Oryctolagus cuniculus: one gene and its partners. The protein of the gene in region 3 interacts with the protein of the main gene of each other region in a biochemical or structural test. Links are inferred from orthologs where the notes say so. Each region holds a gene or a part of one and is shown on either strand. Other genes may lie near its edges.

Region 1 (2,919 bases), on a different chromosome or scaffold from region 3:
CATCCTAAGTGACATAGCAAACCACCTCTGACTGCAGGGAGTGACTCCCAACACCCCAGGGAGGACTCCCTCCCTTCTCCTTGAGGGCCCAAACCCACTGTAGTCCTGTCTACTTTCCTTTCTCCTGTCAGTCTTCCATGTTCATTTCCAGAAGCCTTTATTTTCTTCCTTTTTTAAAAAAATGATTTATTTATTTATTTGAAAGGCAGAGTTACATAGAGGGAGAAGGAGAGGCAGAGGCAGAGGCAGAGAGAAAGAGAAATCTTCCATCTGCTGGTTCACTCCCTAAATGGCTGCAATAGCTGGAGCTGGGCCAGGCCGAAGCCAGGAGCCAGGAGCTTCTTCCATGTCTTCCATGTAGGTGCAGGGGCCCAAGGATTTGGGCCATCTTCCACTGCTTTCCCAGGTCATTAGCATGAAGTTGGATCAGAAGTGGAGCAGCTGAGCCTATGGGCAGTGACTTAACCGATTATGCCACAGCACCAGCACCTTTGTGTGTGTTTTTTTTTTTTTTACTTATTTATTTATTTTTTATTTTTTGACAGGCAGAGTGGACAGTGAGATTGAGAGACAGAGAGAAAGGTCTTCCTTTTGCCGTTGGTTCACCCTCCAATGGCCGGCGCAGCCAGTGCGCTGCGGCTGGCGCACCGCGCTGATCCGATGGCAGAAGCCAGGTACTTATCCTGGTCTACTAATTTGAATTTTAGCTGATTTTAGCTTTAACTGAATTTTTATTTAACTTCAGCAATACAAGGTTGACAGCTAAACATCTCTAAAAGGGAAAAGAGAGTCTGCATCCTATCTTCCCATCCCTGCTTCCTCTCCAGAGGCAATCTCTGTCCACTCTTTTTGCTACTTCTTCTGGTGTTTTCCTCCTATTGCTACATACTTGCCCGTGTAACTCTGCATCATCCCAGCTTTAGTTATGCGTTATTGATGATGGAAGATGGGAACTTAGGTTTCTTACACCTCTCCCTCAACACAATCTCCTCCCCTCATTTTCTGAAAAATATTATAGTGTTTCCCTGTTGACATTATTCTCTGTAAATATTATTCACAGCTCATCCATTTAGTGTGTATGGTTAAATGTTCCCTGTTATACAGCAATTTCTTTTTCTTTTGTATCTGATAACTGCATTAAATTTTCAGTTGCTTACTTTTCTGTGTTGATCACTAGTTCATCACGAACTCTCCAAAAGAAATATAAATCACTCTGAAGGTGTGCAAATCAAGTATTTTCTTATTTTCCTTGGAGACATCCTCCTACAGTCCTTTTGGATTCCTGCTCCAACCTGTGTGACCCTGCTACACACTAACATCTGGGAATTCTCTTCCCCTTTCTCCTATGCCATGTTGTCCTCCCTCTTGATTTAATCTAATGTCATGGTGTTGGTGGTTGGAGGTGTCCTTATCCTTGTGACAGTGCACAAAAAGATCTCCTCCCACTACCTATTGCTTTTCTACATTCTATCAAAAGGGAAGGTATCATCATACTACTCAAAATGTTTATAGAAGTACAACAACCTTTGTAACTTGTTCTCCTTCCTACCCTTTCCTGTTGTGCCCAACCCAAACCCTTAGAGCCTTCTGGACCCCCATCACAAATGATTAACTGGCAAGAGTTAGAACTGCAGCAAAGTCAGTCCAAACCCAAATCTGAAAGCAGAATGGCAATGTGCATCCTCGACCCTCCATCTCCCATGTTCCACACACAATGCCTCCATGCCCTACGGCAGGGTGGGGAAACACTTTTGCCAAGGGCCATTTGGATATTTCTAACATCATTCAAGGACCATACAAAATGATCAACTGGAAAATTAGCCTGCTAGAGATTTAATGAATTTTGAGTCTTGCTTGTGTTTGCTTTGGCAGGGCCAGCTATTCCCTATTCCGGTCCTAGATAAATGCCCTGGTCTGTCTTCTACTCCTCCTATCCCTTCTGTTCCTCAGACAAAAGAGTGGCAAAGGGAACATTCTTACCTTCCAGAGCCAAATGGAAGTCCTCCTTCCCCTACTTACAATCAACCAGCTTTCTCTTGCCTCAATCCTTCTACCCTTTCCCTCTCATTGTCCTTGTTTGGGGCCTTGGCTTGCTTTGTTCTAGGGCAGCCTTTCTTTTCATAGTCGAAGTCTGTCCCTGTATTCTTAGGAAGCACATTTTATCTGCACTGGGGCCTCCAGGGGCTTCTTATTTGGCTGTATCTCAAGGGGTTGAGGAGGGAAGGGGAGTGGGAGAACCCTGGATATAGAGTATGCCTTCAGGTTGCGAATGTAGAAGGCTCGAAGGGCCAGAGATCTGGTACAGGATCTGATGAAAAGCAGGACCTACTGTTCCTGGCACTTTTTCCCAATCTGACATTTCAGGGAGCAAGACTTGTAGGACTTTTCCTTCCTGTATCCCTCATCAGACCCAAACCACTGAAAATATACCTAATGACACTTTGAAGTAGGTCTTATCAACAAAAGTCATGGTCAAGTTCATGTTGGGATTGGATGTTTGTTGGGAAGGCTGTAAACACCAGGTCATTTGGAGATGTCAAGTGCATGGAGGTGGACACAATGGTGCATGAGCAGGCATCACCCAGTAACTCATTACACCTTTGCTTCCTTTCTCAGCCACACACAAACAGGAAAGCTGAACTTTGTCTCTGCCTCCTGGGAATGACCTTTTCTGAGCACAGCCCTTAGTCGGTCCTTAAAGTTCTCCCCAGCAAAGTAGTAGAGCAGAGGATTGAGGCAGCTGTTGGCAGCTGCCAAGACCAGTGTGATGACCACGGCTTTGTGCAATGTTTCTTGGCACTTCCCCACTTCCCACGTGAGCAGGTGCAGGGTCCTCAGTGCGTGGTAGGGCAGGAAACACAGGAGGAAGAGGATCAAGGCTATGATGATGGTGATCAGTGCCTTCTTGTGAGAAAGCCG
Region 2 (3,425 bases), on a different chromosome or scaffold from region 3:
CCACAGCGCCCTCACTCCAGGTGGCTCCCGGAGTCGGCCAGATGGCTCCTCACCACGGGCAGGCTGGACCGTGGCCTGCGGGAGCTGCGGAGGGTGGCCGCCATCAACGGGAAGACGGCAGCAGGGGGCGCACTGACCATGGAGGTGAGGCAGGGCCGGGCGCCCCCAGACTCTGTCCCTGCCACCGGAGGGTCTGGGGAGGAGGGCCTGCCCCGGGCTCCCGGGCCAACAGCGCCCCCGCCCGCCCCGCAGGTCTTGCTGTCAGCCACGCGGGAGGAGCTGAGCGGGGACCCAGCTCCGGCCCGGCTCAGCACGCTGCTCCGCACGCCGGGACTTCGCCTGCGGACTTGCATCTCCATGCTGTGCTGGTGACGCCCCGCCCCCGCCCCGCCCACCCCACCCCACCCCACCCCCCGCCCAGGCGGCGCCCTGGTTGGCCTGTGGCCTGTGACCGACTGAGTGCCCCCAGCACGAGGCCCACCTCCCCTGGATTTGTCAGGCTTCCGACAGGGGACAGGGGATGGGGGACAGGGGACGGGGGACAGGGGACAGAGGATGGGGGACAGGGGATAGGGGACAGGGGACGGGGACAGGGGACAGGGGACGGGGGACAGGGGACAGGGGATGGGGGACAGGGGACGGGGGACAGGGGATGGGGGATAGGGGACAGGGGACAGGGGATGGGGGACAGGGGACAGAGGATGGGGGACAGGGGACGGGGATGGGGGACGGGGATAGGGGACGGGGGATGGGGGACGGGGGATGGGGGATGGGGTACAGGGGACGGGGAACAGGGGATGGGGGACGGGGGACAGGGGATGGGGATAGGGGATGGGGGACAGGGGACAGGGGACGGGGGATGGGAGATGGGGGACGGGGATGGGGGACAGGGGACGGGGAACCCCCCCAGGCCGGCAGAAGGAATCCCGGGCTTCGTGCTGGGTGGGTGGGCAGCCTGCAGGAGGGGCAGGGGTGGGAGGGCCACCTTGGCCAGCGGGCCTGGGAGCCACCGTCCGCCGGGCCCTCCCCGCCCCCCAGCCCCCGGGGGAAGAGCGCCCCTCCCTCCCCACTGACGCCGTCTGCCCTCAGGTTCGCCTTCGGCTTCACCTTCTACGGGCTGGCGCTGGACCTGCAGGCTCTGGGCAGCGACGTCTTCCTGCTGCAGGTGCTCATCGGCGTGGTGGACGTGCCGGCCAAGGCCGGCGTCCTGCTGCTGCTGAGCCGCCTGGGCCGCCGGCCCTCGCAGGCCGCCTCCCTCGTGCTGCCCGGCCTCTGCGTCCTGGCCAACACGCTGGTGCCCCATGGTGAGCGGGCAGGCGCCAGGGCCAGGCCTCCGGGCAGCGCTTCCAGGCTGCCGGGGTGGGGGGCAGGGTCAGGGGCCCCGTTAGGAAGTCGCTGCTGGGCCCGCGGGAGCTCCGGGGAGCAGCGGGCAGCACAGCACTGGGCTGTGGGCGGCGAGGCGGAGGGGGACACCCCGGGCCGGCTCTGGGGGTCCCTAGCCACGGACCCGACACCCGCCCTGCTGACCCGTCTCCCCACAGAGATGGGGGCCGTGCGCTCAGTGCTGGCCGTGGCGGGGCTGGGGTCCTTGGGGGCCGCCTTCACCTGCATCAGCATCTATGGTGGCGAGCTCTTTCCGACGGTGCTCAGGTGAGGCAGGCCCGCGGGGGGGGGGGGGGCAGGCCACCTCCCTTCCCCGTGGGCTCTGGGCTAGGTGGGGGTGGGGGTCAAGGCTGTGGGCGGCGCAGTGACCCTCACAGGCGCATTCGCCCCGTCAGGATGACGGCCGTGGGCTTGGGCCAGATGGCAGCCCGCGGGGGAGCCATCCTGGGGCCCCTGGTGCGGCTCCTGGGCGCCCACGGCCCCTCGCTGCCCCTGCTGGTATACGGGACCGTGCCTGTGCTGAGCGGCCTGACGGCGCTGCTGCTGCCCGAGACGCGGGGCCTGCCGCTGCCCGACACCGTGCAGGATCTGCAGGGCCGGTGAGTACAGCTTCGACCACCGCGCCCGCCGGGCACTCCCAGGACAGGGCGGCCCGGCCACGCAGCCCATGACGGGGGAGCAGACGCCCCGACACGGGCACAGCACTGGTGGTGGAGCGGGAGAGGGGAGGCCCAGCTCGCCCCAGGTCCACCTGCAGACGGGCCCAGGGGGCTGTGAGGGGGCAGCCCCCAGGCTGTGATGGCTGTCGCTGGCGGTCCCGGGCCTCTCCACCAAAATCCCCAGGTGGGGAGCCAGGGTCGTACCCCCAGGTGCTTAGGACAGGCACAGGCCAGGGGTCGCTCTGCACCCCCAGACACACCCGCCCCTGTCTTCCCCAACAGAGCGGCGGAGAAGGCCACGGCCAGCGCCGCGGGCTCGGCGGGGACCTCTGTCCTGAAATGCACGCGGCTCTAGCCTCCCGGCGCCACGGACCGCAGCGGGAGGCTGCTCCACTGCCCTGGAAAAGCGGCCTTGGCTTCCAGGGGCCCAGGACCACCCTCGGGCGTCTCGGGCGTCCTGCTCCCCTCCCGCGACTGCCCCCTCTCGTCATCCGCAACCCGGAAGGGGCAGTGGCCGGCTGCCGGGCAGGAGGCTGCCTGGCCCAAACTCACCCCAACCCCTGACCCCTCCTGGCTGCAGGGAGGAGAGGGGCGGGGCCCGGGGCAAGCCCCTCCCCCTCACTGCCCCACCCGCCGCCTTGCCAGCTTGGAGCTGACCTTACAGGACTACGGCTCCTCAGCCCCACCCAGGATCCCAGTGACCTGGTCCGCCCCCTCGGGCCCCTCCCACCTTGTACGTGGCAAACTCCCCTCCCCCTTCCAGGCCCGTCCAGCCCTGACCCCTCCCACCCTCCAGCCTGGGTGTCCCGAGGGTCAGGCTCCCAGGCAGAGCTGGCTCGGGGGCTTTGCTGGGACAACTGAGTAAAGACCAAGTACCAATGACCACCTTCCCCTCCTGGACTCCAGGGATGGGCTCCCGGCGGGCGGAGCGGGGTGTGCGGGGGCTCCCTGCTGGACAGAGCGGGGTGTGCTGGGGGCTCCTGGTCTGAGGGTGTGGGGTGGCTGCTGCTAGCTCCCAGCCTCTGCGGGGCCCAGGCACCACGCTGGGCGCCTCAAAGCGTCATCTCATTCCGTCTTTCCCTGAGCCCTGGGAGGCAGGTGTTGCCCCACTTCATAGATGGGATAAGCGAGGCTTAAGGAAACTGCCCTGGCACAGCGCTGGGAGGGAGCAGAGCCAGGGTGCACGCTCTGGCCTCGACAGCCCCGGCCTGCCCTCCAGCCTCACAGTCGGGGCCCACGGTGGCACTCCCCCGGGCAGTGACGGGATTCCCTGTCCCTCCGAATCAGCCAGGAACACGCAGGGCTCTCCGGCCCCGCCCATGAGGAGCCACGGAGCAGGCTCCACCGAGGTGTGGCTGCAGCTGGCGCTGGGCGGCACCCAGC
Region 3 (4,220 bases):
ACGTCCTAGTAACTCCTGCAACCAAGCATGGATGTCGAGTAGCACGTTTTGTGGCTAGCTACAAAGCACCCTTTGATTTGAAGAGAAGGATAAAGGATTGCCAGGATTCACTCAGCCCAGGGTCATGGTTAAAAAGCACTGATCTAGGCCCAGACTGCTTATGTCCAAATGCTGGGCCTAAAAACAGTTATGGGACCTGGGTGAGTTTCTCGGGCTCCTGGGCCAGGTACAATGCCCAGCGCTTAATAGGCGGACACATTTGGCCAGTGCTTTGTGAGCACCCATGGCAGGTTAGGCATGGCAGGGCAGAGGGAGATCACTAGAACAGTCTTCAGCTGCTGTCATGGACAGATACAGTCTCTAGAGTCGGAACAGCAGCCTTGACACCAGGTACCCCTGGGCAGATGTAGTGCCCTCTCCAAAAACGAGTTTGCTGATCTATAAAATGGTGATAGTGTTGTCCTCCTGGGATGATTGTGGGGGTTACGAGAGGTCACCTAGGTAACAGAGTGGCACACAGCCAGAGCTCAAAAACAAAATAAAGTTAGCCATGATTATTATTATTATTATTATTATTTAGAATTTATTATTTGAAAGGTGGAGTTACAAATAGTGAGAGGAAGAGACAGAGAGAGAGGTCTTCCATCCACTGGTTCACTCCCCAAATGGCTGCAGTGGCTGGTGCTGGGCAGATCCGAAGCCAGGAACCAGGAGCTTCTTCTGGGTCTCCCACAAGGGTGCAGGGGCCCAAGCACTAGGACCATCTTCTACTGCTTTCCTAGACCATATCAGAGAACTGCTCCAAGAGGAGCAGCCGAGACTCGAACCGGCGCCCATATGGGATGGAGGCATTACAGGCCGGAGATTAACCTACTGCGTCGGCCCAGCCTGATGATTTATAGGGGTTCTTCACATTGAAAGGAATATACAAGGTCCCAGGTACATCCACATACACGACTGTGTTTAGTTCTTAGAAAGCACTGAGCTGTTATTTAATTTATCCTGTGTACTAAGCATACAGAGGCTAGGAGAGATCTTGTGACTTCACAAAAATCACACTTGCTCCGCGCAGGAGCTAGGATGCTAAGCCAGGTTAGGAGAGTCTTGATCTTGGAGTCTGGTGTCTGTCCTCGCCCAGAGCTGCCACCCAGGAGAGCTGTAGTAGCAGCAATCAGGTCAGAAGCATAATCCTCAGGACTAGGAGAGGGGAAATTCTGAATGAGGCGTGCGGGAACGGGATTCGGTGGGTGACGCAAGGCGGGGAGTGGGGCATTTGGCTTCCAGGACTGGCTTGGCACCGGGAAGGCGCTGAGAAGGTCATGTCCCTTCTCTGGGCGAGCTTCCTGAGGGCTTGGTGCAGCGGGATGGGGGTGGGGGTGACGCGGGGTAGGGACTGCTTCCAAGAGCGCACGCGGGAGCCGGCTCGGCTCGCAGGCTCGGATGCGGCGAGACACTCAGCGGCGTGGCCCGGCCTCGCGGTACCTAAGGCCGAGGGAGAGCGGAGCGTGTAAGCCGTCGTGGGCCCTTCTTCGGGGCTGGGGGCAGCCGGGGGCAATGGGGCCAGGGTGCGCTTCCAAGAAGTGACCTTGGCGCCCCGCAGCGGTAGCACGCCTCGGTAGTGCGGGCCGGGCCCCGCGGCTTCTGCACTCTGACCGCTAGAGGGCGCTGCCTTCCAGCCGCAGCCGACGCGACCTTGCACCTGCGCCCGCGCGGGTCAGCGGCCAGGAGCGCGGGGAGGGGGTGTGTGTGAGCAAGGTGGGTCCCGGGGATGCAGCCAGAGGGAACTGGCTTTCTGAAGTGGGGCGGGGAGGGGGCCAAGGAGTCTGGGAACTTGCTGAGCTCCCTGCGTCCTAGAAGGTGGCGATGCCTGGAGCGGGAAGGAGGGTGCCGATCAACTTGGCATCCTCACCCCTGAGTCTTCCTTGGGGCCCCTGAACTGCTTTGGATGAGGGAGAGAGGGGTTGAAGGGGCTATGGGCTCTCAGAACCGTGAGGCAGCTGGGCAGGAGATTGCAGAGGACAGCACACTGCCCCCTCCCCCAGCCCTTTGCGTACTGGTCCTGGAGTCTTCACGTGATCTAGGACGGGTTACTTTACCAGGCTCAGCTTGTGTTTGAAGCTCCCTGGCAGGACTTCCGAGGTGGTTAAAAGTTAGAGGTTTGCCCAAGGTTTTGTGCAGAGTGTGGACTGTCTGATGCGACAAGATAGTGAGAAAGCAGCTTATTCCCCCTGGAACCAAAGCCTGGATCTAGCCTCTCAGAGGAGCCGGGGGTCAGCTTTGAGTTCCACGGACACCTCCCGGAGTCCGCATCTCATTTGCAGCTGTGAAGGGACTTCCCACCCTGCCACCCTCCATAACCCAAGTAGAACCAGGCTTGTGAGCAAACAGAGCTTCTGCCCTGACCCCTCTCAACACAGCAGAGTGGGGCTTCTTGGCTGGGGTCCCTCTGGTGGTCTGTTGAAGTCCGTGGAGCCCCCCTCTCAGAATAACATTTGAAAATTCATGAAATAAAATACAGAGGATAACAAAGAAAGCAAATCGTCTTAAGACGTTAGAAGCACGAGTGACCCAGGAGATCCATGCTTCTTAAGACCCAGTGCTGGCCCAGTTACTCCAGTAATTTCATAGGAGTCATGAGCATGAATGATGCTTGGCGAACTCGGCATGAACTCTAATGAGATTGGAAAATACCTGCGATTTCTATCAACGGCAAATTCTACTGTGATTTATTGCCTACATTCATAATAGAAGCAACTGCTACCTTTCACGTAGAGACAGGTGAAAATACAGATGTATTTTTCCTCCCAAACTCACAGAGCCCAGGAATGAATGTATTTATGGTTAAGGATGAATGAATGAGTCATTCTCAGTTAAGAACTGCTGCGGTCCAGGCTCCACGGGTGGCACAGGGCGGGGGTGGGGGAGAGGGAATGAGGCAACCATGCCTCCTGATTCTTCGGAGGAGGTCTTTGGAACTTGAGGGAAATTATCTCTAAGCCGTTTTTTTTTCCCCCAGCCCAGAATGTCTGGGTTTACTCTGCTACACACACTCCAGTGGCTGGGAGCCTGCCTTGCTGTATCTATCCCCAGGGCACACAATCTTAGGTCCCCCTCAGGGCCACCTCCAAGCTCCACGGAGCCTTGAGGGTGGGACTGTCCCAGCCCAGGTCTGGAGGGTTGATCTGGTAGAGGGTTGATCTGAATCTTGGAATCTTGGTAACTTTCCCCCCTGGAGTTCTTTCTCCTTCATCTCCTCTGTAGTAACAAAAAGATGACCCCTTGACATTCACCTGCCCCTCCCCAGCGCCTAGCAGAACAAAGTGCCTGGAGGAGTGGGAAGACTCCTCCACGCGCTCCCTCAGCCGCTCACCATTCAAGGAACCTCAGGATGGGCCAGAGAGTCCACAAAGAACATGGCACCGGCCACCCTCACAGGCAGCCCTGGTCCCCCCGGACTCCGGAGGGCAGGGAACTTTCCCCTTCAAGAAGCAGCTTTCCCGGGGACCTCCCTGAAGCCACCCCGCGGCTCCGACCCCGGGTCCCCGCCAGGCCTCTTTACCTCGGAACAGAAGTCTTCTTCCCTCTCTCCGCCTCCGGGCTCAGGCTGAAGGAGCTCTCAGCCCTCAAATTACTCTTTGGTCTTTTAAGCCCCATCTCCCCACTTCCGTCATCGCTGGCCTTCATCACTGTCACCGCCAGTCTTTGAAAACCACAGACCGGGTTTTAGCAGTCAGGGGTCTTCCTGCCTCTCTTTCCCCCACCCCCACTGAGGACTCACCTCCTCTCTCCCCTCCACCTCAGCCTCCAGTTCCTCCCCTCCTCCTCCATCCCCCCTCCTTTTTATTATTTTTAAGATTTATTTTTATTTATTTGAAAGAGTTACAGAGAGAAACAGAAAGACAGCAAGGTCTTCCACCCGCTTGTTCACTCCCCCATAGCCAGGAGCTTCATTTGGGTCTCCCATGTGGGTGCAGGGGCCCAAGCACTTAGGCCATCTTCCACTGCTTTCCCAGGTACATTATCAGGGAGTTGGATCAGAAATGGAGCAGCTGGGACTCGACCCTGCGCCCATATAGCAAGCAGGTGGAGGCTCAACCTGTTGTGCCACAGTGCCGGCCCCTCTTTTTTATTTTTGCATTAGAAATAGACTAAGATCCCGAGAGGGCTGAGAAAAAACACCCTTGAAATTATCTTCTGTACCTTGAGGCGTGGAGCTTGGT
Region 4 (3,500 bases), on a different chromosome or scaffold from region 3:
CTGGTTTTCCTATCTAGCCCATTGGAGGTCATTTGCCCTTGGTTTATGGGCCTGCAGCTCAGGCCTCCAGGCTTGGCAGTACCCCAAGGCCTAGTGGGGGTCAAGTTGGGAACACACAGCGCTCTCCCCAAGGCAGCATGTGCCACGCAGGTGAACCCTAACAGTAGCAAGCGGAATGTCATCAGCGGTTCTGATGGCTGCCCTATGACACAGGGCTCAGAACAAAACCTGAAGGAGCTATGAACGCTGAAGTGCCAGCCCCTACCCTCGGCACCGGGGGAGGGCCCTGGGGGGGGGGGTGCTGAGCTCCCCGGGCAGAGATGGCTTCAGTGCCCAAAGCAGCTCCCAGAAGAGGCGCAATGTGAACAGGAGGAAGCTACAGCTCTTGCATTTTGCTTGGGGCCCCAAGACTGCAGGGAGGGGGCACTAACGTGCAGCCCTGGGAACAGCTGTCCATTGTGGAGAGGATTCCCTAGCAGTGAGCAGGGTGTCTGCCCATCTATGCCCCGCCCACTTTCTATTGTCACCGCTGGGTTTTGCTGGGCTCCTGGGGGGCACCAGTGACAAGACCTGGGCCACATTTTCTATAATGACTCCTTGACCCAGTGGGACTACAAATTAGTGGCCCGTGGACCAGGCAAGGCTGCCATACTGCCCCCTGCACTGTGAAGATTGGGAGATTTCACCTAAGGTATCAGAGCCGTGGCTTCCGATGGTGACGATGGCTTGGAGCTCAGGAGCTGCCGCCCCCATAGACCCAGCACACACACACCCACCTCCTCCTCTCCTAGCTGAGCTCCTCAGTTAGGCATCCTGCCCACCCTGTGGCCTCTGCGCCCGTCAGCAGCATCCAATGCCACTGAGCGTGGAGGAAAGTGGAGCCCAGAGCTGCTGGGTTTGGGAACCTGCTGGCCCCCAGGGAGCCAGGCCAGAGGGGTGATGGGGCAGACAGACTGTGCAGAGGGCCGGCCAGGCTCAGCTTCTCATGGGGCAAGCATGCTCAGCCACGTTTCTTTAGCAAAGGAAACAGGCTCAGAGAAGGCAAGTGACCTGCCCACCGCCGCAGAGTCAGGAAACCCCGTCTCCCCCGCCCCCACTTCAGTGCCAACCCCAGACTGCGTTTTCCTAAATCCACACTCCTCTTAATCTAGGCTTCCACCTCCATGGCCAGGGCAGAGACCAACATCAGCCGGACCCATGGAAATGCCACCATGGAGAAATGTAAGTGCCTGCGACACGGCAGGTGTCCCCCACGGCAGGGTGGGGCCGCCCCAGCCCAGCCACTGCCGCCTCCAGCCCCAGGAAGGGAGACTCAGGCCTTGGTCTGGAGGCCGAAGGAGCCCAGAGTGGGACCTGAGGCCCAGAGCCAAAGGGGTGGCCAAGGTGGGCAGTGGGGGCTGCATGTGGGGCCAGCTCCCAGAAGCTCAGCTACTCCCCTGCAGGCAATCACATCTTCGTGGACACGCAGCTGCCCGACCTGGCCGTGGGGCTCATCCTGCTGGCCGGCTCCTTGGTGCTCCTGTGCACCTGTCTCATTCTCCTTGTCAAGATGCTCAACTCCCTGCTCAAGGGCCAAGTGGCCAAGGTCATCCAGAAAGTGATCAACACCGGTGAGCAGCAAGCAGCGAGCGGCCCCTCCAAATCCTTCCAAAGCCATGTCCTGCCCCTACCATCTCCTGGGCCTGTATTTCCGCACGTGAACACAGAAGGGATCAGACCAGGCGATTTCAAAGTCGCCTGGAGGGTGAGCCTCAGGGCCACCATCCCGGCAGGTGCAGCTTCTCAGAGGCTGTAGACAAAGTCACGAAGCCACTTGCAGGATGTGGGGGATGCAGAGGCTGCTTTCAGGGGCTCAGAGCCCAAGAGGGCAAGGTGGGAACGCAGGATAATCGCAGAGAACAAGGAAGGTGGCTGCCAGGGAGACAGCAAAGATGGCAGCTGAGGAGTGCGGCACAGGCTGCTTTGATGGGCAGCGGCCTCTACACGCGGTCAGGTTGTGGACCAAGAGCATTCTGGGTGGTGGGAGCAGCAAGTGCCCAGGCTCGGGGGCAGGCTCGTGGCACAGAAGAGCGGCTAGCAGCACGGCAGTAGAGGAGACTTCAGGGCATGGCCAGAGAAGTGAGGGGGCCGGGCCAGACCTCAGGGCCTCGAGGCTCTGCTCCCAGCCTGGCAAGGGTAAGGGGAGCCATCAGGGGGTTGGGGCGGAGGCGACATCATCCGACGTTCATGGTAAGCTTCACTGTGAGCCTTGGGGACACTGGCCCTGGGAGTGGCCTGTGACAGGCGCTGGAGGAAAGGGCACTGTGGTATCGTGGGGGCCCAGAGAGGGGAGACACCAAGCCTGCAGGTGGGTGGGGCCAAGGAGGGCTTTACTGCCAGGTGTCTGGGCCGTGTCCTGAGGATGCACACTCAGACACTGAGTAGGGTCTTGTGGGGAAGCTGCGGGCCCGGCCAGGCAAAGGCATGGCGGCCTGGGCACAGCAGGTGGGAAAAGGCCTCTCGTCCACGATCAAGAGTGAGTGGAGGGCACTGAGCAGGGGCCTGGCCTCGGACGCCTGCTGCCCAGGGCAGGCCCTGCTCTCCCAGCCCCCTCTGCTGACTCGGGCTGCTGGCATGGGCTTTCCTTGCAGACCTGCCTGCCCCCTTCACCTGGGTCACGGGCTACTTCGCCATGGTGGTGGGAGCGGCTATGACCTTCATTGTCCAAAGTAGCTCCGTGTTCACCTCGGCCATCACTCCACTCGTCGGTGAGTGCCTGGCCGAGCCAAGGTGGGGTAGACTGAGGACAGCAGGCTGGTTGGGGGGGAGCTTGGGGAACCGCATCCTCTTCCCCTACCCCACCCGGCCCCCTACCCCCACCCAGGCTTGGGAGTGATCAGCATCGAGCGAGCCTACCCTCTCACACTGGGCTCCAACATCGGCACCACCACCACCGCTATCCTGGCTGCCCTGGCCAGCCCCCGGGAGAAGCTGTCCAGCTCCTTCCAGGTATGTCTGGGAGTGGCCCCGCCGGAGAGGCAGGATGGGGCTGGGCACGGGACCCAGCGTGTGGCCACAGGTAACAACTAGGTTCTGACTGCCTATTAAGAGCCACTCGCTATGCCATGTGCAAACCAGCATGGCCAAAGTCAACCTGATTCCTCCCCCAAACACATCAGCACATGGCAGGGAGAGAGACACTGCTCAGTAATCTCACCACGAACCCTGGCAAGGGGGATTGCACCAGGAGCAAGCGGTGCTGAGGCAGACCTGGCTCAGTCTGGGAGGAGAACAGTGGGGGTAGGGGAAGGGTTGGGTGCAGATAGCAAAGGGGGGCTGTTCTGGAAGCAAAGGAGTGACTGGCAACTCACAGCCTTGAGCCAACCAGAGTCCAGAGAGATCTTGGAGCTGCTGGGGATCAATGAAATCACTTGGGAGCTCCCGGGAGAGGTGACAGCGGGGGAGTTCAGGGAGTGACAACATACAGCTACTCAGAAGCATCTCAAGTCTTCAGTGCAGCC
Region 5 (3,939 bases), on a different chromosome or scaffold from region 3:
TAAATAGCATCACTTTACTCACAAAAGTATCCAATTTTCAAAAATCAATTGCATGATCATTCTACCCAAGAAAAAAGACAGTCTCATTAACCTTGTAGTGATGCTATAAGAAGTGATCAAAGATGGTGTTCTGCTACCAATCTCCAGGGACAAACGATGAGAATCAGACACAATAAGAGAATATAACATCCCCATAGTCATGTGTTGGATCATTATGACTTTGGCTCAACAGTTCCATTCCCTCTCCTTCCTATGTCCTTGCAACTAAACTCCCAAATGTTAAAGTGTTCTCTTTTGCTGCTGCTGCTTCTTAGCTTAATTGGTACCCCCTTGCTTCCAAAATAAAATGCTAACATACATTCACCCAGCTGGAGGGTCAGGGTGATACCAGATTCAATATTCCCTGAAGCATGTGTAGGCTGATTGCTGTATCCCTGACTGCTGATTAATAATAAGGGAGTCAAATAGTGCCTTTTGATTCTGATTTCCTCTGAGAGACTGTTCTACAAGCATAGGGTCAACTTAAAGGAAGCAAGGTTTTGCTTAATATTTTCTCCTTTCATTAGTGCACTTAAATTACTTTCTTGTAAACTCTGCTTGTTACCTAAATGTACTAGCACTTTTGTTACCTAATTAACTTTCTTATCAGAATCCCAACCAAAAATAACAAGAAATGTAATAATGATAAGGTACTCTGCCCTCTCAAAACAGATTTCCTTTGCGCTTTATCTCTTGGCAGTGTTCTGGCTTGTTTAATTAAAATATCAGAAATTATTAGACTCAAATTATTTCTTGATCTAATGCTCAAATTCTACTGAAAAACTGCATCTTCTGTCTCAGTATTTAAAATTTTATCAGCATGAGGCAGATGAGTTTCCACACATATGCAACTGGATTCATGTAATTCAATATAATTTTGGAGGAATAGCCTAATTTAGTCTCTAAGTAATTAAACAAACAAATCAGATTTGGCTACATTGAGCTACCATGAATGTCCAAATAACCTGTATCTTCTCTCCTGTGCTCCTGGATCATCAGAATGAACAACATCAATCTGCAAAAGACCTTACAAAGTTTTAGCATGGAGATGTGACATTCAAAGCAACAGTCTTACTTATTTTTTCATTAGAGGGGCAGGGGTAAAAACCGTCAAGTTCTAACTACTAACACAAGTTATTCCCAAGGAAGGTAGTCATGTCTAATACAGACTTTACAATAATTGATGAGAAAATATTCTTCAATCACAGCATTGAAAAGGAGACAACTGTAAGACATATAGGTTGTTTCTCTTCATCACACTCTGTGAAAAAAATTCAGGTTTGGGTTTGCTTGCTTTTGGTGGACCTGTGTGAGACGTTTACTTTCTTTGAAATTGTCTGCAACATGGTCCCATTTTGCACTGTCAAGCTTGGCTATCACAATTACCAGGCAGCCATACTGAACTTGTGTTTCATTGGAACTTCCATACTCACCCCAGTGCTGGCTGGATGGCTTGCTGATGTCTCTTTGGGAAGACACAAGCTGGTGTATATTTGCCTATTTCTACATTTTCTAGGTAAGTGTGCTTTACTGGTTGGATTGTTTTGCAACTTAATTGAATATTTTTGCCTTAATATTTTTATTTCTGTTATTCCCATTTTGATCTTAGCATAAAATGTGATCAATGAAGTAAGAATGCTGCTTAAATTTATTTTGATCTCCTATTACTTGAAATATGTTAGTAAATATGTATGTTTTAGGGAATTTTTGAGACCTGTGTCACTGCACTTACTATGTTCTACAATACCTATTTGCTTACATGTCTGTCCTCTGTACTCCTCTGCCCTCTGTACCCCCTTTCTCTTCCAAGCCCATATTTACAGTAAACTCTATGCAAAACAAAATCCATTTGTTTCACAACTAAGATAAAATGTGCTAAAAACATTTTCAAAGTTCATGTAGAATTATTCAGAAAAGGTAGTCTAATTAATCATATAGTAATTAAGATTGCATATTAGAGAATGACTTCTATATCTATATGCTTTAAAAAATAAGTGAGTCCATACACTACAGTATGCTACTTTATATACAGAAAAATAAATATACCTGCAAAAGTTGGGAGTGAGGTGATTGGGAGTGAATAATGCTGGGGAGAATATCAAGATAGTTTGATCTGCAATAGGCTAGAATTTTAAACTGCAAAGTTCAAATTATTCTTCTTGTACAAGAAATCTCGGAAGATATGATGGAAATAATATTTGAGAAATGCTTTTCTTCAATAAACAGGATGAACAGCTACAGAAAGAGGTTAGATAGAAACCAGAAAAATCACAGAATGATGGCCTAAGCAATAGAGAAGTGCCAGTTCAGGAGAAAACCTGTGAGAACTATTTTTAAAAACTTGGCAACTAAACAAAGGTATAAATATGATAGGGGAAGAAAAATTAACTCCAAGAGCTGAGCTGAGAACTTGTCAAGGTAATATGCTGTCCACCAATAATGACAAGTGCAGCTAGAATGCCTGTGGTGGGGGCAACTGATGGGGAAGCAATGGACAAATATCAGGGACCCAACAGAGTATACAGCTATAGGGCACTGGTGTTCAGGGAATTTGTTAGAGTGAGATTCGAACTTGTACACTTCTCTGCTTAAGTACCGTGAAATAAAAACTAAGTTGCTGAATGGCAAATACTCAGTCATCATTCCGCAATTATTTCCACTTGATCACTCAGCACCAGGATTATTGCAAGTTTTTAAGGATGCAGCAGGGAGGAAAGTACTCTGTTCTTGGCTGAAGGTGACTTTGTGGTGAGGGAAGAGAGAATATGAACAAGTAAATAGACTATGACAGATGGTAGTAAGTATTAAGATGAAAAATAAATCTGAGAAAGGGGATAGGATGGAATGAACAGTGATAGGCTTGCTATTTTGTATCAGAGAATTATTTCTGATGAGAAAACATTTAAGCAAAGACCTCAGTAATTCATTCTCCTTAACTTAGTAAGAGGCTACATCAGTAGCATTTGGTAACTTCTTTAACATGTTAATTCCTATCAGTCTTAAATTCCTGGGCAAGGAAGCAAGCTTTAGCTTAATGGTTCAGATATCCATCCATATCTTGTATCAAAGAACCTGGGCTTGGTTCCCACCAATGTGAACTCCGGGAGGCATCAAGTGATGGCTCAAGTAATTGAGTTCCTGCCAATCATGTGCAAGACCTGGATTGTGCTCCCTATCCTGGTCCTGGCCCTGGTCCTGGTCCTGGTCCCGGGCCAAGCCCAGCTGCAACAGTTGTGGCCAGGACAAGGATGGGATCTCTCTCTCTCTCTCTCTCTCTCTCTCTCTCAAATAATGTTTTTAAATGTTTATTTTCAGATACTGAAAGGAGTATGAAAAGAGAGAGAGAGAGGAAAAAAGAGGGAAAGGGAGAGAGAGAGAAAGAGAGAGAGAGAGAGAGAGAGAGAGAGAGAGAGAACAAGTGTGAGCACTAGCTCTTCCATCTTCTGTTTTACTCCCCAAATTTCTCCAGAAACAGTCAGGGCTGGGCCAGGCTGAAGCCAGGAGCCCAGAACTCTTTCCAGGTCTCCCACACGGGGATCAGAGGGCCCAAGTGCTTAACACATCATCTGTTGCCTTCCCAGTGCATTAGCAGGAAGCTGGATTGAAAGCAGAGAAGCCAGAACTCAAACCAGCACTCTGATATGGGATGTTGTAGTCTCAAGTTGCAGCTTAACCTGCTGTACCACAACACCCACCTCTCAAATACATTTTTTAAAAATTAAATTCCAAGGTAAGTTGTCAGACCAGGAAGGAAAGTCCCAACTTTGGAATTTGGCAAACAAAAGTGCAAAGCCAACTCCATATCCATGCATTTTCCTACTAAGTTATTTCTTTGTATCCCTAGATCACATCTGCCATGAAATTCCAGACAGATACTAAATATCAGAAGTTCTAACAGAA
Region 6 (4,216 bases), on a different chromosome or scaffold from region 3:
GTTTGGTGGCTGGCAAAATGTAAACAAAATTACATGGGTGATTTGACTAGGGGCAATACTATATGCTGAAAGGAGAGATTGGAAATAGACCTGAGTTTGATCTTGGCTTTATCATTAGTGGCATTTATTTAACTCCTCTAGTCTGTTTCCTAGTTGAAGATTGAGGATAACAACACTTACTCACATGGTGAGCGTGAGGTTTGCATGAAATGATGTGCAGCAAATAGTAAGAACTCAGGTGACTATTTTATTTATTCTTTCCAGAGGAGGGAGATTGGTTGAAAAGTATTTGGGGTCTCCTTGAGCCATACTCATTGGTCAGCTTCTGTAATCTTGAAGTGGATTCTTCATCCCTTCATTGTCATTGCTCATTGATAACAACAAGGAAATAATTGCCAATTGTTTTCAACATTTGTGTCTTACATTTGATGGGTCATGCTAGTAGGGAGAAAACAGACTTAGGATGGTGAAGTGGATGAAGTAAGTTCACTCACACTCCTGAGAAAAGTCAATAGGGAAAACAGAGCCTCAAGTTTTGTGATACTGGAGAGAGGAAAACACCAGCACAGTCTATGAAGCAAGGGTCATGAATTAGAAATGCTGAAATTCTTTCCCGATTCATCCTGTCATCATTTTGTTCCATCTCTTTGCTCTTCTATTCTCTACTATTAAAATTCAGTGCAATAAAATGTGAATGTTTCTTAAAACCCACTTTAAGATAGAAGGGAAAAAAGATGACATTAAAATGCAAAGGAAAGTGATCAAAACCTGCGGAACACATTCATGAATTGAAATGTATGTTCCTTTCTATCATTATGCTAGCACTTTTTTTTTTTTTTTTTGACAATAGAGTTCAGAAATTAAAGGCTTGGCTCTTTAAAATCCACACGACAGGCACCCAAACCTGGGAAGGAAGGCGCCCACGCTTAGGAAAGGGTAGGTGCCCTCAGATTCAGTCAGATCAAAGTTAATGCGCCACCTTCGCTTCAAAGGCTGCCTGGATTCCTTCCGGCGCAGTAGTCAAGACGTTTTGCTGAACGAGACCAGGAAATCCATAGGAGGGCGGGTGAGTTTACATACTGTCCAGTCGTCACTGTCGCTTAGGCACACAAAAGCCTCCTTAGAAACGCAAGCTAGACTAGTAAAAACTTCGTAAAGACAACTAACAACTCTCCGGCGGCGACGGGCAAGGCACTAGCTGCTCTTACCTCTTTGCAAGATGTTGACATTTTCGTCCCCCCAAGTGCGTCTCCAAAGGTGTCTTAGCCGCAGTTGGAGCGCACCTAAGCCTGAAACTAACAACGCTGGGTTCTTCCCCAGCCCCGCGAAGGAGGCGCGAGGGCGAACCCACCAGGCACAAACGCAGGACCTGCCGGCTCTCCAAGGCTGCATTTTGATGCTGGAGAGAGGTATTTCCCTTTTCAAAATGCACCTTGCAAACCTTACACGAACCCGGCTAGGATCCGGGGAAAGAGGAAGAAGAGAAAGAGGAGGAGGAGGAGGATGGCACAGGGAAGCTGGCGGCGGCAGGTCCCGGGGCCGGAGGGACCTGGTGAGGAGGAAGGTCCAGGAGTCTCGCCGCGGTGCTGCCGCTCCTGCTCCCGCTGGTGGCTCTGTCTTCAGGCGTCGCCGCCCGCACCTGCAGAGCGGCCGCGCGGGCTGGGCTGCGGCTGGACGGTAGGGACGCGGAGCTGCACGGAGCGCGCGCGAGGGAGGAGGCCGGGAGTCCGCGGCGGGCGAGGGAGGCGTGGGGCGGCGCAGGCGGGAAGGAGGCGAGAAGGAAGGAGCGGCCGGGGAGCGGCCGGGGCGCGCCGGGGCGGAGAAGGCGGCTGGAGCGAATGTGGGGCCGGCCAGGCAGCGCCGGGCTTTTAACCTGGGCAGCGGGGGCGGGGGAAGGAGCAGCAGGAAAGGGGAGGTGTGTGCCATGGGGGTGGGTGGGGGGAGTTGGCGGCAAATGACATCACGGCAGGTCAGAGAAAAAGGGGTGAGCGGCGGGCGCGGAGAGGAGCAGGGCGTCCGGCAGTAGGAGCGCGAGCCCAGCCTGCCCCGGCAGGCAGCCCGGCGCTCCGAGAGACCATGCAGAAGTCGCCTCTGGAGAAGGCCGGCGTCCTCTCCAAACTTTTTTTCAGGTGAGAGGGTGTTCAGCTGAGCTGCGCAAGCACACGTGCCTACGAAAGAGGAGGGAGAGGATATGGGCAGGGTTCGGGGAGAGAGGACTAGTGTTTTTGTTCTCGGTTCTTAAGAGATGCGCTGTCATGGTTTTGAAAGAAAACGTGGATTTGGAGCAATAAGATGGAAAGCGTTAAGAAGAGATGGAAGAATAAACTGAAGCCCATTGTTGGGGTAGAGCCAAGTCTGCTTGCAACGGAAAGGCAGACTCTTAGACCCAAGTGGGCTACTGTGAAACTGTTTTCTTCGATTTCTCCAAGAAACTTATCGGTGACAAAGCTATTCATAAAGGATTCTTGTTTGCGCCGCCGTTTCCCCCATACATGTTTAATAGAAACTTGTTTTCTTGGCACTCATACCACGTGTCACTCCTGCATGTAGTAGGTGCTCAGAAAACATTTGTTGACTGAATTAAAAAATGGGGGCTGGGGTTGGAAATTATGTGATTAAACAAAGTTTTCGTTGTTAGAATCCCAAGTAAGTCTAACAAGCCTTTGCAGAATTCCATTGTTCTTCCTGTTATGAAGGAAATCAAATCCATTGAAATAGGTATATTCAAAATGCTAATAGTACCTATTATTAATTTAAGAACATCAGAATTTTGCAAAGTGTGAAACCCGGGGAATAGATGCTGAAGTTATAACCAACTGACATGGAAGAGATTGTGCTCCTATCCTTTTTTGCAAATGAACAGCTAGAAAAGCTTGCAAACTCCTTCTAATGAGATTTTTAAAAATAGAGTTTAAATTCAGAGTCTTAGGTGAAGTGTAATTAGATGTAGCGTTTCGTGTTTCAAGTGTTCTTTAGGTACCGCATCTACTTTGTTCCTGTTGCTATACCTGTGTGAGTGAACCAATAGGGGCAGCTCTCTCCCAGGATGCTGCCAGGCTCATAATTCTCCAGTGAATCAGCATGCTAAAGTATTGGAAAAGTCAACTCTGCTACAAATATGCCCATAAATGTGTGTATGAGAAAGTGATTCACAGTCCTCTGAGCTCTGATTCTCTACACGTGCTGCAAACCTGAAACCCAGGTGCAAAGGAGAGGCCATTGGCCCCTGAAGGAGATCTCCTCCTTGTGGATGGGGCAGAAGGACTTTACTCTTTGGAACTGCCTTTCTTATTGATGTTTACAGCACCTTTTATTACTTTGTAAAATTGGCCTGTTTATCTGTTTCCTATTACTTCTAAAATCACATTGCTAATTGGCAATAATTGGAGACTTTTTATCCACAGCACTTTGAGGAACCCAATTGCCAGTCAGTCTAAAAATGCAGTTTTCAGAATGAATATCCCATGGTTAATTCTAAGGACTAAGAGACTTTAAATAGCATATTGTTCATCTTTTCAATTGTTCATCAAACTTTTCAATTTTTATAGATTGGCAAACTTTAGTATAGTTTTAAAAAAGCTGTCAGGTTGATTTGGAAAGAAAATGTATTATAATGGCTATGAAATTTGTTGCGAGCATACTCATTTCTTTTCTCCAAACTATTTTATAATAAGTTGCTCTAAGAATAGGTGTGTTTTTAAAAATTAAGTTCCTACTATTAGAGGAACTGACAATCACCCAGAACTAGTGATTATGAACTTTCTTCAGGACTCTACTGCTAAAGGGCAAAAACCTCACTCTCTGCAATGGGTCAGGCAGTGCCGCTCACTGGTGAGGAGCAGCAGACTTTGGATTCAGATCTTTTGGATTCAAATCCCAGATCTACTGCTTAGTAGCTGTGTGACTTGAGGCAAATCCTGTCACATCTCTGTGTTCATGTGACTTGACCATTCAAACTTAGAGATTGATAGGACTTATGACCCAAGGGTTCTGTGATTGAGAAAATGCATGTTTATGTTAGCCCAGTAAGTGTTAGCTGCTGTTATCATTATAAATTACTACATTTGAACATTCTTTACAGTACCATGTGTCTTGTTTATATAAGGAGTGCAGTTCCTCTTTGCTGAGTATAATTCTGCAGTATAAGTCTGCATACACAATGAATCAGCCTGTATGAGAATTTGGGAAAATTTCATCTAACATGGTCTCACTAAGC

Evidence for each region.
Region 1: the proteins of PDZK1 (region 3) and CYSLTR2 interact in a test that uses a peptide from one of them, tested with the Homo sapiens proteins (2 studies listed by IntAct, with this or other methods). The link is inferred for Oryctolagus cuniculus from reciprocal best matches to the Homo sapiens genes PDZK1 and CYSLTR2.
Region 2: the proteins of PDZK1 (region 3) and SLC22A12 form a complex in vitro, tested with the Homo sapiens proteins (2 studies listed by BioGRID and IntAct, with this or other methods). The link is inferred for Oryctolagus cuniculus from reciprocal best matches to the Homo sapiens genes PDZK1 and SLC22A12.
Region 4: the proteins of PDZK1 (region 3) and SLC34A1 form a complex in vitro, tested with the Homo sapiens proteins (2 studies listed by BioGRID and IntAct, with this or other methods). The link is inferred for Oryctolagus cuniculus from reciprocal best matches to the Homo sapiens genes PDZK1 and SLC34A1.
Region 5: the proteins of PDZK1 (region 3) and SLC15A5 interact in a test that uses a peptide from one of them, tested with the Homo sapiens proteins (2 studies listed by IntAct, with this or other methods). The link is inferred for Oryctolagus cuniculus from reciprocal best matches to the Homo sapiens genes PDZK1 and SLC15A5.
Region 6: the proteins of PDZK1 (region 3) and CFTR form a complex in vitro, tested with the Homo sapiens proteins (2 studies listed by BioGRID and IntAct, with this or other methods). The link is inferred for Oryctolagus cuniculus from reciprocal best matches to the Homo sapiens genes PDZK1 and CFTR.

The regions. Positions count from the first base shown.
Region 1 is NC_091440.1:68,018,553-68,021,471, reverse strand, and holds the end of CYSLTR2 (cysteinyl leukotriene receptor 2), read right to left. Parts: coding exon 2,593-2,919; 3' UTR 501-2,592; downstream 1-500. UniProt on the Homo sapiens protein: Receptor for cysteinyl leukotrienes. The response is mediated via a G-protein that activates a phosphatidylinositol-calcium second messenger system.
Region 2 is NC_091432.1:6,862,480-6,865,904, reverse strand, and holds the end of SLC22A12 (solute carrier family 22 member 12), read left to right. Parts: intron 1-20; coding exon 21-144; intron 145-252; coding exon 253-368; intron 369-1,089; coding exon 1,090-1,304; intron 1,305-1,541; coding exon 1,542-1,650; intron 1,651-1,778; coding exon 1,779-1,982; intron 1,983-2,324; coding exon 2,325-2,397; 3' UTR 2,398-2,925; downstream 2,926-3,425. UniProt on the Homo sapiens protein: Electroneutral antiporter that translocates urate across the apical membrane of proximal tubular cells in exchange for monovalent organic or inorganic anions. Involved in renal reabsorption of urate and helps maintaining blood levels of uric acid.
Region 3 is NC_091438.1:49,176,844-49,181,063, forward strand, and holds the start of PDZK1 (Na(+)/H(+) exchange regulatory cofactor NHE-RF3), read left to right. Parts: upstream 1-1,420; 5' UTR 1,421-1,507; intron 1,508-4,220. UniProt on the Homo sapiens protein: A scaffold protein that connects plasma membrane proteins and regulatory components, regulating their surface expression in epithelial cells apical domains.
Region 4 is NC_091437.1:63,391,444-63,394,943, forward strand, and holds part of SLC34A1 (sodium-dependent phosphate transport protein 2A), read left to right. Parts: intron 1-1,151; coding exon 1,152-1,221; intron 1,222-1,442; coding exon 1,443-1,610; intron 1,611-2,630; coding exon 2,631-2,747; intron 2,748-2,863; coding exon 2,864-2,988; intron 2,989-3,500.
Region 5 is NC_091440.1:114,128,641-114,132,579, reverse strand, and holds the start of SLC15A5 (solute carrier family 15 member 5), read left to right. Parts: upstream 1-1,139; 5' UTR 1,140-1,194; coding exon 1,195-1,555; intron 1,556-3,939. UniProt on the Homo sapiens protein: Proton oligopeptide cotransporter.
Region 6 is NC_091434.1:153,028,876-153,033,091, forward strand, and holds the start of CFTR (cystic fibrosis transmembrane conductance regulator), read left to right. Parts: upstream 1-1,416; 5' UTR 1,417-1,426; coding exon 1,427-1,677; intron 1,678-1,976; exon of another isoform or gene 1,977-2,076; coding exon of another isoform or gene 2,077-2,129; intron 2,130-4,216. UniProt on the Homo sapiens protein: Epithelial ion channel that plays an important role in the regulation of epithelial ion and water transport and fluid homeostasis. Mediates the transport of chloride ions across the cell membrane.